3 linked regions of the Cricetulus griseus genome follow. The protein of the gene in region 3 purifies or fractionates together with the protein of the main gene of each other region. This does not show direct contact. Links are inferred from orthologs where the notes say so. Each region holds a gene or a part of one and is shown on either strand. Other genes may lie near its edges.

Region 1 (4,127 bases), on a different chromosome or scaffold from region 3:
TATTGGCTCCACGACAGTCTGTTCTGATGCTAAACTTCAGTTGTGCTGGGGTTCTGGAAATTCAGGAGACTCGCCATTCAAGAAGCTGCGGCAGTGTATGTGTGTGTGTGTGGGGGGGGTGTCAGCAGAAGAAGTGACATCAGTCTGAGCAGCTGGCCATTGTCTCCCCCAGCCTCTATTTCTGCCAGAGGCTCGGACTGAGGAACTAAGATAGGCACCATCTTCTTCTGTTTGTAAGATGGTCCTCTGTGTACCATGCTCATTAACACATGGGACTGAAGACCTGGAAAAGTAACGAGGGTCACAACTATCCTGGAGTCCCAGTTGGTGGATGTACTTCAGAGTCAGTGTGAATACTCACAAGGCTAAGAATAAAACTCAGGTCCTGCCAAGGAAGGCACACTCCCAGTGTGCCTTCACTCACACTCCCAGTCTGTACAGTGGGGTCAGGAGGAAGACTGTCGTCATCACCACACGGTGCTAGCCCTTCTGCCCCATTCCCCAGCTGCATGTCCCAGCCTCTGGAGGCTCCATCCCCTAAATTCTAAAGCCCATCTGGTGGTCGCCCACCCCCACCCCTGCATCCTTTGGTTTGACCTCTCCTCAAGGAGAGGGCAACTGCCATGCCCTGAGGGGCTCGGATCAGACTGACTCAGAACCGACCTATCTGGACCAATCCAGACCAATTTAGCCCTAGGATGAACATTGATGGACAGGACTGCAGAGGAGGGAAGGGGACAAGTACTAAGGGTGAAGGGGCTGGAGCTTGGAGGCAGAAAGATTTAAGACAACTGGGGAGTCCCAAAGGGCGGAGCCAACTTCTGACCAGACCCTCCCAGCCCAAACTCAGCTCTCACTGCACTGTTCCTTAGACACCCCGAGAACCTGGAGTGAGGAAGATGAGGACAGGTACCTTGGCTGATACCTTGTGCTCGTCCCTCTCAGCGGTGCCCACGCCGCTCCCTCCTGAGCCAGGAATCCAGATTTCTGACTCTGGGTGCGTGCTACCCTTATCCCCTCTCAGGGCCCCAGGGTCATGCCTCCCTTCCCAGGACCCACGAGACCCCCAAGGCCCGGGTTCGAGGCCAGTCCCTTGGGGGGGGGGCTGGGGCGGCCGCACTGGGGTCTGCAGCCCTCTGAAGCGCCAGGCCCTGCGACCGGGAGGCGTGCTGGGCAATAGGAAACGGACTATTAGGAGGGAGTGGTGGAGTCGGGCCAGGCAGGAAGAAGCTAGAATAAGAAACATTTTTGCTCCAGCCCCTTCCCAGTCCCGGGAGGCCGCCGCGCCAGCCGCGCGGATCGAGCTCTTCCCCGGTCCCAGGCCGGCTCTGAACGCGAGACCCCGGCCGCCTCCGGGGAGGATAGGCGGGGGTCCCGTTGCCCCATCCAAAGGTGAGTGGAGGTCGCGTTGGACCGAGCGGGGCGACCTGTCCCTAGTCTCAGTGGACTTTTCCTTCAGAGATCTCTGAGATCCTTGCGTTGAGGGGTCAGTTTTAGCTGGACAAGAGAGCCAGCAGCCCCCTGGTGTGGACACATACCTGCCTGTTATGCCACCTGAGAATGGAAGGGAGCTGGACGAATCCGGATGTGGAATGGATAACTTTTACTCTTGCTAGGTGTCCTGAGGCCTTTAGCTTCTCTTCTCCAGTCCCTATTCATTCACTTAACTCTCTCTTCTATGCGTATCTGTGAAAATAAAATAGGTCAAAGGATTCTTCCCCACTACGGAGCTCCCACATCCCTCCAGGGTGCTGGGTTAACCTGGGAGTGACTTTCCATGTTGTTAAAACTCCTCATAGAGCCCGAGTTTCCCAGACCAGCTCTTGCTTAAGGAACTTGTCATTACAAGGCCATATCCTAAATCTTACCTCTAGCCCTAGAAGGTCACAGAATTCTCCTGCCGTGAGTGTCCCAGGCTATCAGTCTGTCCTGGAGAAAGAGGACTGCTCAGTCTGTCCTGGAGAAAGAGAACTGCTCAGGCTGGCTGCATTCTTAGGCCTTGCTCAGGGGACACATTCCTCTGTTTATGACTAGCCTCAGAGTTAAGAGTCAGGGCCAGTCCTCCCTGACCCTTTACTACTCCATCTGTCCTCGGGGTCTGTCCTCTCCCACCCCTCACTTCTGTTTGTGCCCCTACCTGTCTTCTCAGTTATCTTCTATGTAGTGTGTGGTTTTTCTCACACAATCTATCAGATGGGAGATCATTGTGCCCTGCTTGTAGGAGAGAGGCCCACTCCAAGCTTTGGTCAATGACGCCGGGAGACATCATGGCTTGGTTATTCTTTTTGAGACAGAACTGGGTTCAGATTCTCGATTCTCCTGCCTCGGGAGGCCTCTGAGTGCTGGTGTGTGCCACCACACCTGGATATAGTTGAGCTTTTAGTAACACTAAGTGCATCTTTTGTGCCACTTAATACACTACCAAGTAACTCTTCTACATTTACCTAGGAAATGTCACCCTTCCTGCCCCAATCCCATAGCTGTTGGTAGTAGAGACGTGACTTGGTTAGAGCTGGTATGTTGACCCCTGTACTCCATAGGAGTCTCCCCTGTCTGCAGTTTCCCTGTGGGGGATTTCAGTCGCTTACAATCAACTGTGGTGTGGAAATAGTTCATGGAATCTTCCAGAAACAAGGGGACTTTAAAGATTTAAATCCATACCGTCTCCAGAGTGCAGTTAAAATCTCCTGTTACCTTGCCCAATCTCATCTTCTTCATCTCTGTATCCATGCTGTATATGTTACCTGCCTATTAGTCACCTAGTAGCTGTCAGGGCTGTCAGGCTGACTGTGTATCTCTGTGCTTATGCTCAAGTAACCTTTATTTCACTTAACAGTGGCCCAAAGTGCAAGTGCAGTGGTGCTGGCGGTCCAGATACACCAAGGAGAAGAAGGTAAAGGTGCTTCCTTTAAGTAGAGAGACAAAGTTCCTTGCTAAAACATACTGTTGTGGTTGTTGTATTTTCTTATTAATGTTAATGTCTTCTGTGCCTACTATGCAAGTTAAACTTTAGTATAGGTATGTTATAAGTAGAGAGGAACAGGACATGCAGTTTGGCTCTGTCGGTAGCTTCATATACTCAGTGTGCTTTGGGGATGCATTACCTCAGATGAGGGGACCATTGCACTGTGCCACTTTGCAGATGCCTAAGACCCTCAAACCTAAGCTTGTTCTGTGATATCCCACCACTACAGAGTTAATAGGAAATGCAGGTGAATGGCTGCATCTGTAAGGCCCAGTGAGTGTTGAGTGTGGAAGATAGTTCAGTTTATCACAGCACTGTTCTACCTTGGACAGTCAGTATGAAAAGCCCTGATGCTGTGGAAGCAGGAAAAAGATTGACAGCCACCATCCAGGCACACTCTTCTTGGGTCTCACCTGAGCCTCAAACACTGGTAATGGACAGATAGTTTCTGGGCAACTACAACACTGTGCAATGAGACCTGAGGAGGGCATCAGTCAATGACACCAGGGGGACATATTGCTAATGTCTGCTGAGACCTAGGATACCTTTGTCCTGGGGCTCACCTAAGTCCAGACAAATAGAGGAATAGCAATGGATGAGGAAGGATTTGCTGTTGACAACTTACATTTACCCAGTCATATTCAGCACTCCTGTAGGAGTGTTGTGAGTATCCGAAGAGACAAACCACTAAAGCTCAGTGCCTGGCACAGAGTGAGAACTCAGAACAGTTTGCCTGCTGTTGTTTCCCGGTGTTAAGTTAATGTTTAAAAGTCATCTAACATTTGTGATTTCTGGCCAACAGCAGCAATGCTTGTGTCCGCAGGAGAGCTTTCGTGCAATTTTGCTAAGAAGTAAAAGAGAACAATAAGACACAGATTACCGCCCCACCCCATGCTTAACCTGAGATGGGACTTGGTTAGTGCCATCACATTCCCAGGGCTGGACCAGGAGTGACTTCTACATTACTGCCATCCTTCACCTATGCTGCTGTTTAGAACTGAACATTTTCTCTCACACCCATGTTTACCCTCATGCCGCAGAGTCACCAAGTCCCTGGTCTTGTGTTACTCTTTCTTCCCACAGAGATGGGGAGGCACCTAAAGGAAGTAAGAATCCCTTCCCTCTGTGACCCATGTCCATCCACACAGCAATGCTCTGTGAA
Region 2 (4,285 bases), on a different chromosome or scaffold from region 3:
TTGCCTCTGCCTCTCAAGTGCTGAGATTAAAGGTGTGGACCACTATGCCAGGTTGGCCATAGCTTCTTGCTTCTTAAACGGAGTCATAACTGCATATAGAGGTGGGGGGGGGGTCACAACAACTCTGGCAACAATAAAGGGCTTCTGAATACACAACACCCAAAAGTAAGTCAAAATCAAATGAGCAATGACTCTGAGATGTTTCTGGAGGTGCATGTTTGTGTTGCATGATGCAACTTCACTGCAGCCTTAGTTCTGAACACACATGTTGTCATGCTATGCAATGCCAACAGAGTCTGGACTATTATTTTATGAGGCTTTAAAAAATATTTGTACTTATGTGCATTGGTGTTGTGACTGCATGTATATCTGCATGAGTGTGTCAGGTACTCTGGAACAGGAGTTACAGACAGTTGTTAGCTGCCAAGTGGGTGTTGGGAATTGAACCCAAGTTCTCTGGAAGAGCAGTCAGAAGGTGCTCTTAACCACTGAGCCATCTCTCCAGCCCCTATTTTACGAATTTTAATGTTTTTATTGTACATACAAAATTTTCTACTTTTTCAGAAACTTGATTAACTACAAAAGACTTTCATTCCCCATGTGTATCAAAGGGGTGTATCCTTAATTGTATTGAGTTAGAATGTTTGATTTGAAAAACTGTTTAAGTTGTTAAGTTTCATTTTAAAAACTGTTAAAATAATTTCATCTGGTGATTAAGACACAACAATTTCTGAAATGGCTCTAAACATATGCAATTATGTGAGGTGGCATTGGATGATTTAATTCTCTATGTAAAAATAAACTCACCCACTTCATTACAATGAGAATTTGCTTTAATCTCTAATAAACAGTAGTAAACTGTATGTGCCAATGAATTATTTTTAAAATAATTTTATTTATGATCTATTATCAGTATGTTTGACTTATATACCTGCTTTCTACATCTATATATTCAAGGTTACATACAATTTCTTGAGAAATGAGGGTAGCAAATGGGAAAAGTTTATTAAGTGTTAGTGTAGGCTTTGAGTAATAAAAGCATCTAGGCCAGTTTTGTACTACACAATTGCCTAAGTAGGAGATAAACTCCTCCAGGGCATGGACCAACCTTCTCAGCATCCAAATCAATACTGCTAAATATATGAATGTGTCCTGCTTTGTCCTAGGTAGAAAAGAATGAATTACTTTAGTCAAATAACTGTGTAGAATAATGGCCACTTAAATTTGATGCATAATTATAACGATTCTCCCACTTTGCCCACAGTTATCTTCCTTCCTAAGCCAATGTTAAAACCCACTGTATACTATGTGAATGGGTCAAGTAAATAAAGAAAGACACCTAAGTTGTAAGAATTAAATATCAACTGTTCTTTACCTGGGCTATGCTACTTTGGTGTAGCAGGTGCCCCGATTTTGAACTCTGAAAGACCTAAACACAAATCCTAACTTCTACACTTAGTAAGACGTTAAATCTCTTGCACCTTAGTTTTCATGTCAATATACAGATAGCCCTGATAGTTAAGTTACAGGTCTCAGATACTGTACTATGGTGTACCTTTTGTATATGCATTAAAATCGACTCCTAATAAGTAATGACTATCAAGTTTAATAATAGCCGGCACCCACAGTCCTGAGGGACTTTTTTCGGCTTTTGCTTTTTAAAAAATTTTGTTATCCAATTTCAGCAACAGAAATGCATTTTCACTGCATTTTCGTTGCTAATGCTGAGCCTCGGTATTTTGTTTTCTCCTGTTTTAATTTGGTTACTAACAAAGAGTAAAGTTTTTCACTCTTCCCTCCACGGGGTGACACAACACCTTCCCCCCCCCCAAACCCAGCTACAGATGTCTGATCTAAAACTACCTTCACTTAAGGAAACGATATATCCAAAACAACGATTCCTTCGAGAAAATGAAGCATTCGGCCATTTCTACAGGATCAATCCCATTAAAACGTTCCCAAACCTGGAGTGAACAAACGTTCAAGTTTCTACAACCAAGACAACCCGGAGCCTTCTGATTACTGGACTCTGAACTATTCCTAGACGCAGGAAAGGAGAACATTCCGCGCATCTTCGCGCCTGCTTCTCACACAAAGCCCCCGGTGGAAGAAGAGTCTCCCTTGGCGGGTGCCGACACTCACGACAGAACCGCCCAACCGGGGTCTCAGCCCCCGGCGCCCCTTACGACCCCCGGGGGAGCCCTCCACGCTCCGAGCCCCCGAGCGCCTCCACTCCGGTGCCCGCCCACGCCCCAGCAGCCCCAGGCCCCGGCGCACTTGGGAAGGGCCACCGGGGCCACCGTCCCGGCCAGCCTTGCGCCCCTAAGGGCAGCCCCCGACCTCCGCAGGCTAGCCCGTCGCTGCCCCCGGGGAGCCTAAGAGGGCCGGCCTCCCGGCGCTCGGCCACCCGCGCCTGACACCGCCCCCGCCCGCCTCTCCTCCCCGCCTCGGCTCGCGTGGCCCTGCCGGGTCAGGAAAGCCCGGGCCGGCCGGCGCCGCCACCTGCGCCCCCGGCCCCGCGCCATGTTTGAGAAAGAGCAGAAGCCAGCCAGAGGCCGGGCCCGGCCCGCGCGCCCCGCAGCCGCCCGCCCGCCCGCCTGCCGCTCACCCTTCGTCCCCGGTAGCAGCGTCGCCGCCGCCGCCACCAACAAGATGAGAAGCAGCCGGCGACGCGGAGCAGCAGCCGCCGCCTCCATGGTCCCGCCGCCACCGTTTGTGGCCCGGCCCGGCCCCGGCCGCAGCTTCTCCTCAGCAAGCCTCGCCTCGCCTCGCCCCACCTCCCCGCCGCCGCCGCGGCCTCGCTCCGGCCCTTTGTAACTGCTCGAGGGACGCGCGCCCATTGGCTGGCCGGCTCCCGCCGACCCCGCCTCCCCGCCGCCCGAGAGCGCCCTAGAGGGACCCAGTCGACAGCCCCGCCCGCGGGGCCTCTGGGTGGCCAATAAGCGGCCGCCGGCTTCTGCCTCTGACCACGCCTCCGCACTGCTGGGCCTCTGACCACGCCCCCGCACAGCTGGGAGCCCCTACTCCAGCCACAGCGGGGCGACTCGCGGTCTACCGGCGGGTGGGGGCAGGGTCCAGCCAGCGCGCGAGACGGAGCCCGCAAGTCCCGGCTAAGCGCAGAGTGTGCCTGTGCGAGTTGCTCAGGGAAAGACTGTGACCGTTGCTCGCTCTTTTCTTCTACCCCAACCCCACCCTGACTTCCCCTGCACCACCCTACACAGCAAAGCCCAACTCTCGACACTCAGTCCTTCAGTACCGTCCGCAGTTCAACTTCCCTTCCCTAGACTCACACCTCAACTTCCAGCCTCCCCGAAAGATAACCTGATTTCTTCCTGCTCTCTACGTCCGCCCCAGACCTTGTCGCCCCCTCCTCAAATTCCAGTCCCAAAGTCGGATCCCAGATTCGGATACCCAAGGTGGAGCTCAGACACACCCCCGATTGGCCTTCTGCCTCTCAGCAGCATAACAGACCCAGACCGGGGATCCCAGCCGCCCTCCTTCCCTCCCACCCTTCCTGACCCCGCAGGGAAGCCGAGAGTCCCACGGGTTTCGAAGGAGGGGGGATTGCCCTGCCGAGCATCCCGCCCCGGGGCGAAGCGGGAGCAGTCGAAGGTACTTTGAGCTGTCTCCGACACGCCTGTGTAATAATTTCGAGGTGTCACTAAAAACCCAAATAAACTCAGCTCCGCTTTCATTCTGAATTCCTAATTTACTGTGAGACGCTCCACCCACCTTCCCTCTGGGACGCCAAAATGAGCTCCAGATTTGTAATTCTTCCTGTCAGACTAGTCCTTTCTTCAGACACAAACACAGCCACGGAGGCGGCCGCATGGCACCGGCAGCATTTTTCCGCAGAACCTTTTAAGGAGAAAATTTTATTTTCTGTGTGATTTGAACTCGTAATTAAATAAAGCTCGGTAGTAGGAATCAGCCGGCCTTTGGTATCGATTGGTAAATTGCTTTAGAGTCACTCTCCAAGAGTTTGATCCTGCTATGAAGGGAAACCGTGGGGGTTAGAGATGGGGTCTGAGACTCCTCCTTGGCTGCAGCTGGGGCATGCTTGAGCAAGTCCTCCACCTGCCAGAGCCTGAACAGGCTGGCTCTCAGGGCCTGCTCTCTGGGGCTCCAGAATCATCAGCCCCCAGCTTGCCCGGCTCAAGTGCAGTGAGGCAGCAAAGACTGGTCAACTTCAAATGCAATAGGCTCTGGGAGGCTTAGAGGGCCTTGGCACACCCGAAATCTCCAGTGCCTGCCCCCACCTCACTCCCACCCCAAAGACCTATGC
Region 3 (3,627 bases):
CTTACCTGCACATGTTTTTTACTGAGTTCCAGAGTCATGATGTCATTGCCACACTTCGGCTGGATCAGGGACATGAGTAGCCCAGAGTTGCACCTGTCCTTGGGAGGTGTGGTCACAACTGGTGCAGGTGAGGTCTGTGGCACACGACCTGTGGGGCCAGAGGTGGGTAGAGTGGACAGTCACTGAGTGCTCACTATGGGCTGAGATCATTGTCCTTATGTGGCTGATGAGGCCAGTGAGGCTGAGAAACTGGCACAAGCTCAAAGAACAGTGTGGCAAGTAATCTGGGAGAAGAGAGGACAGGGTCATGGGGCTGGGGCTCACCGCAGCTAGAGGCCCTCAGTGAGACATCACTGGCCAGGGGCAGCTCTACAAAGGATGCTACAATGCTGGCGTTGAGTTTTCGGGCCTCCCCTACCAGGCCTTGGGGTGTGTCTGGAAGCACAAAGCCTTTGATGCTCTTTTCTGGAAAGATCTTGATGGAGTATTCACCTGTGGTCTGAAGGCAGGAAAGGTTAGCAGGGGCCGTCAGCTGTGGTGATTCCTCTGCCCCCCTGCCTGGCCACCCATCCCCTCATCCCCTTTTTTCCCTTTGTCCTTCACCCAGAAGCCTAGGTTAAGGAACTCCTTGGCCCATTATGAAAAGCTTCCTGGAGGAAAGGGCCTCTAAATTAACAACGGAAGGAAAACAGGTATTAGAGACAGAAAGTTAGGGTGGGCCAGTGATGGTGGCGCTTGCCCTTAATCCCAGCACTCGGGAGGCAGAGGCAGGATCTCTATGAGTTCAAGGCCAGCCTGGTCTACAGAGAGAGTTCCAAGGCAGACAAGGCTACACAGAGAAACCTTGTCTCAAAAAATCAAAACAAACAAACAAAAAACCGAAAAAACAAGTTGAGGTAGAATGATCACAGGTCTCAGGCTGAGGTGGGGGTGCAAGGCTCACCCATAACTGCATGTTGTGGTTGGCATTGATGAACCAGGACACATATGGAGGACCCTGCAGGATGAGAATGGCATCGGGATCCCCAGATTCACAACTCAGTTCCACATTTACGGTCACTGTGCGGTGCCTGCAGCAGGTAAAGAAGTGTCAGTGCAGATAGAGTGTAGGCTTGAGTGTGGGGACACACCTGGTGTGTTGGCTTGAATAAGACGTCACATATAAATCTTGGGCACTTGAATATTTGGTTCCCAGTTGATGATCCTGTTTGGGAAGGTGTAGGTGGGCCTTGTTGGAGAATGTAGGACACCTGGGGTGGGCTTTGTGTGTGCTGTCTGTTTGTGGTTCAGGGTGAGAGCTCTCAGCTTCTGGAGACATCCATTCTGCCACCATGAACTCTGACCCTCTGGAACCAAAGGCCAAATAAACTCTGTACACACTACCTTGGCCATGGTGTTGTATCCTAGCAGTAGAAAAGTAACTGCTATGCCAGGAGGATAAGATCTGATTGACTGGGAAGGGCCCCGCCCAGGAGGCCAGCACCCTTACCTGGCTCCAGAACCTGGCAGGATCCTCAGAATATATGCCTCCTTGTGGCCAGTCACATCTTCCAAGGAGCAGCCTTGGACTGGAGTGGGGCCTTGAGGTTGCCATTCAAGGATGGGGGCCATGTCCTGATGGGCCTCTGCCAAGCAGTAGGGTGGTGCCTTTGGGGCTGTGGAGACAAGCATATCAGAGAACCCTACCCCACTCAGCCTGAGGCAGTTGTGGGGACATTCAGGACAGGACCTCACAGATGGGAGGACTACAGAAGACTTACCTGCTAAGTGCCCGGCCTTAACATAGGATTAACATATGACTGAGTCCATGGCACATGTCAAGGGTATAGTCCCCTCACCCCCCACCTGGCACATCAGCAATCAGGTATTTCCCTTAATTGTTCTCCATATTTTCTCAATGGAGCTCACTGATTTGCCTAGATTGGCTGGCCAGCAAGCCCCAGGGACCCTCCTGTCTCTGCCTCCCCAGTTTTGGGGTTACATGTATATATCAGTTTTGGGGTTAGATGTGTATATCACCATGACAGCTTTACACATGGGGGTGGCAGGTCCCAATTTAGGTGCTCATGCTTATGTGGCAGTCATTACACACGGAGCCCTCTCCTTTAAAGACACGGTCTCATGTAGCCCAGGCTAGCCTTGAACTGGCTATGTCACAGAGGATGACCTTGGATTCCTTATTCTCCTGTCTCCACCTCCTGAGTGTTGGGATTCCAGATCTGAGCCACCGTATTCAGTCTGTATCACTGGAGGTGGGATCCAGGGCTTACTAACGTACCACCACTCTACTAACTGAGCCCCATCTCTAGCCCCTTGTGCTGAGATTTTCAAGGTCAAGAAGAAAACTTGGCGTTTCTCACTAGCTTCAAAAGGTACCGTCCAGCCATGTGTGACTTTGGACAACGCATGTGCCACCGTGGGCTGGAGTTTCTCAGTTTCTTCTGCAATTGAACCTGAGTCCAGAGGCAACTAAGGAAGCTGACCTTGGCCCAGCCGGAGGACGATGCTTTTGGGGTCAACCAGTGTTGCCATCGAGGTGACAGCACTCTTTTTGGCTGCCCAGTCAAGGATCTGCTTCCTGGAGGTGGGGGACGATGGTAGCGTGGCACTGGCTTCTGTGGGAGGCAGCACTGTGGTGCTGACTTCCGGTTTCTCTGTAAGGGTGATCAGGTTGGGGTCCTGTGGAGACACAGAGTGCTGAGTCCCTGCTGACCTGACCGTGGAGGTCCCTAGTTTGGGGAGTCAGCTCAGTCAATTGGCAGAGAAAAGGTCAGAACCAAGAGTGACAAGACTCAAAGGTCATCAGCTGGCCCAGAGGTTCCCATCTCTGTCCCATCTTCCCTCTGCACACAAGAGCTACAGAGAGGCACTCATTTGTTTGTTCATCTCTTCCAGCTTCACCCTCACCACCAGGCACTCATTTATAATGGCTTCCTGTAGCTGTCTGGGACCCTCCACACTCCGAGGGTGTGTGAGGGGAATCTCAGTGCCCATCCTCACACAGCATTTGACACCTTGCAGGCACCAAGTCTTTGCTCATTGGAATCCTGTTGTACTAGTTGCACCTTGACACCTGCCACATGGTAGGTGCTCCCAATGCGTGGAGAAGGGGGAGATGGAAGGGAAAGAAGACAGGCATGAAAAGTAATGAATGGTTGAAAGACAGATGGAGTGATACCTGCCCTGGAAATCTCACCATTCAGAAACTAGATAGACATCATTATTTGAAGTAATAGAAGGCAGAGAGTCTTATTTAATAAGTAGCAGCAACAATAACAACAAAAAGGGAGGTGCTAGAGAGATGGTTCAGGGTTTAAGAACCCTGACTGCTCTTCCACAAGACCCAGGTTCAATTCAGTTACCATCTGTAACTACAGTCCTAAGTAACTCAACACTTTCCTGGCCTCGGCAGGCACAAAGAACCATGTGTGATGCACAGACACACATGCACACGAAACACCCAGACACATAAAATAAAATAAAATAAAATTTAAAAAGAAATGAGAACCAAGACAAGTCCTCTGGACAGCTGAGGATGGGGGATCTGGGTGGATCTGTGACCCTTGGGCTCTGGTGAGTTAAGAAAGGAAGACTTCCAGGAGGAGGTGATCCAAGGGAGAGAAGGGT

What was found.
Region 1: the proteins of Eng (region 3) and Acvrl1 purify together in Homo sapiens (affinity purification with western blotting; 3 studies listed by BioGRID and IntAct, with this or other methods). This does not show direct contact. The link is inferred for Cricetulus griseus from reciprocal best matches to the Homo sapiens genes ENG and ACVRL1.
Region 2: the proteins of Eng (region 3) and Tgfbr1 purify together in Homo sapiens (affinity purification with western blotting; 5 studies listed by BioGRID and IntAct, with this or other methods). This does not show direct contact. The link is inferred for Cricetulus griseus from reciprocal best matches to the Homo sapiens genes ENG and TGFBR1.

Annotation. Positions count from the first base shown.
Region 1 is NC_048595.1:397,567,930-397,572,056, forward strand, and holds the start of Acvrl1 (serine/threonine-protein kinase receptor R3), read left to right. Parts: upstream 1-1,276; 5' UTR 1,277-1,392; intron 1,393-2,836; 5' UTR 2,837-2,893; intron 2,894-4,127. UniProt on the Homo sapiens protein: Type I receptor for TGF-beta family ligands BMP9/GDF2 and BMP10 and important regulator of normal blood vessel development. On ligand binding, forms a receptor complex consisting of two type II and two type I transmembrane serine/threonine kinases.
Region 2 is NC_048595.1:96,063,505-96,067,789, forward strand, and holds the start of Tgfbr1 (TGF-beta receptor type-1), read right to left. Parts: upstream 2,852-4,285; 5' UTR 2,841-2,851; coding exon 2,609-2,840; intron 1-2,608. UniProt on the Homo sapiens protein: Transmembrane serine/threonine kinase forming with the TGF-beta type II serine/threonine kinase receptor, TGFBR2, the non-promiscuous receptor for the TGF-beta cytokines TGFB1, TGFB2 and TGFB3.
Region 3 is NC_048599.1:144,389,455-144,393,081, reverse strand, and holds part of Eng (endoglin), read right to left. Parts: intron 2,680-3,627; coding exon 2,484-2,679; intron 1,656-2,483; coding exon 1,490-1,655; intron 1,071-1,489; coding exon 944-1,070; intron 500-943; coding exon 325-499; intron 149-324; coding exon 6-148; intron 1-5. UniProt on the Homo sapiens protein: Vascular endothelium glycoprotein that plays an important role in the regulation of angiogenesis. Required for normal structure and integrity of adult vasculature. Regulates the migration of vascular endothelial cells.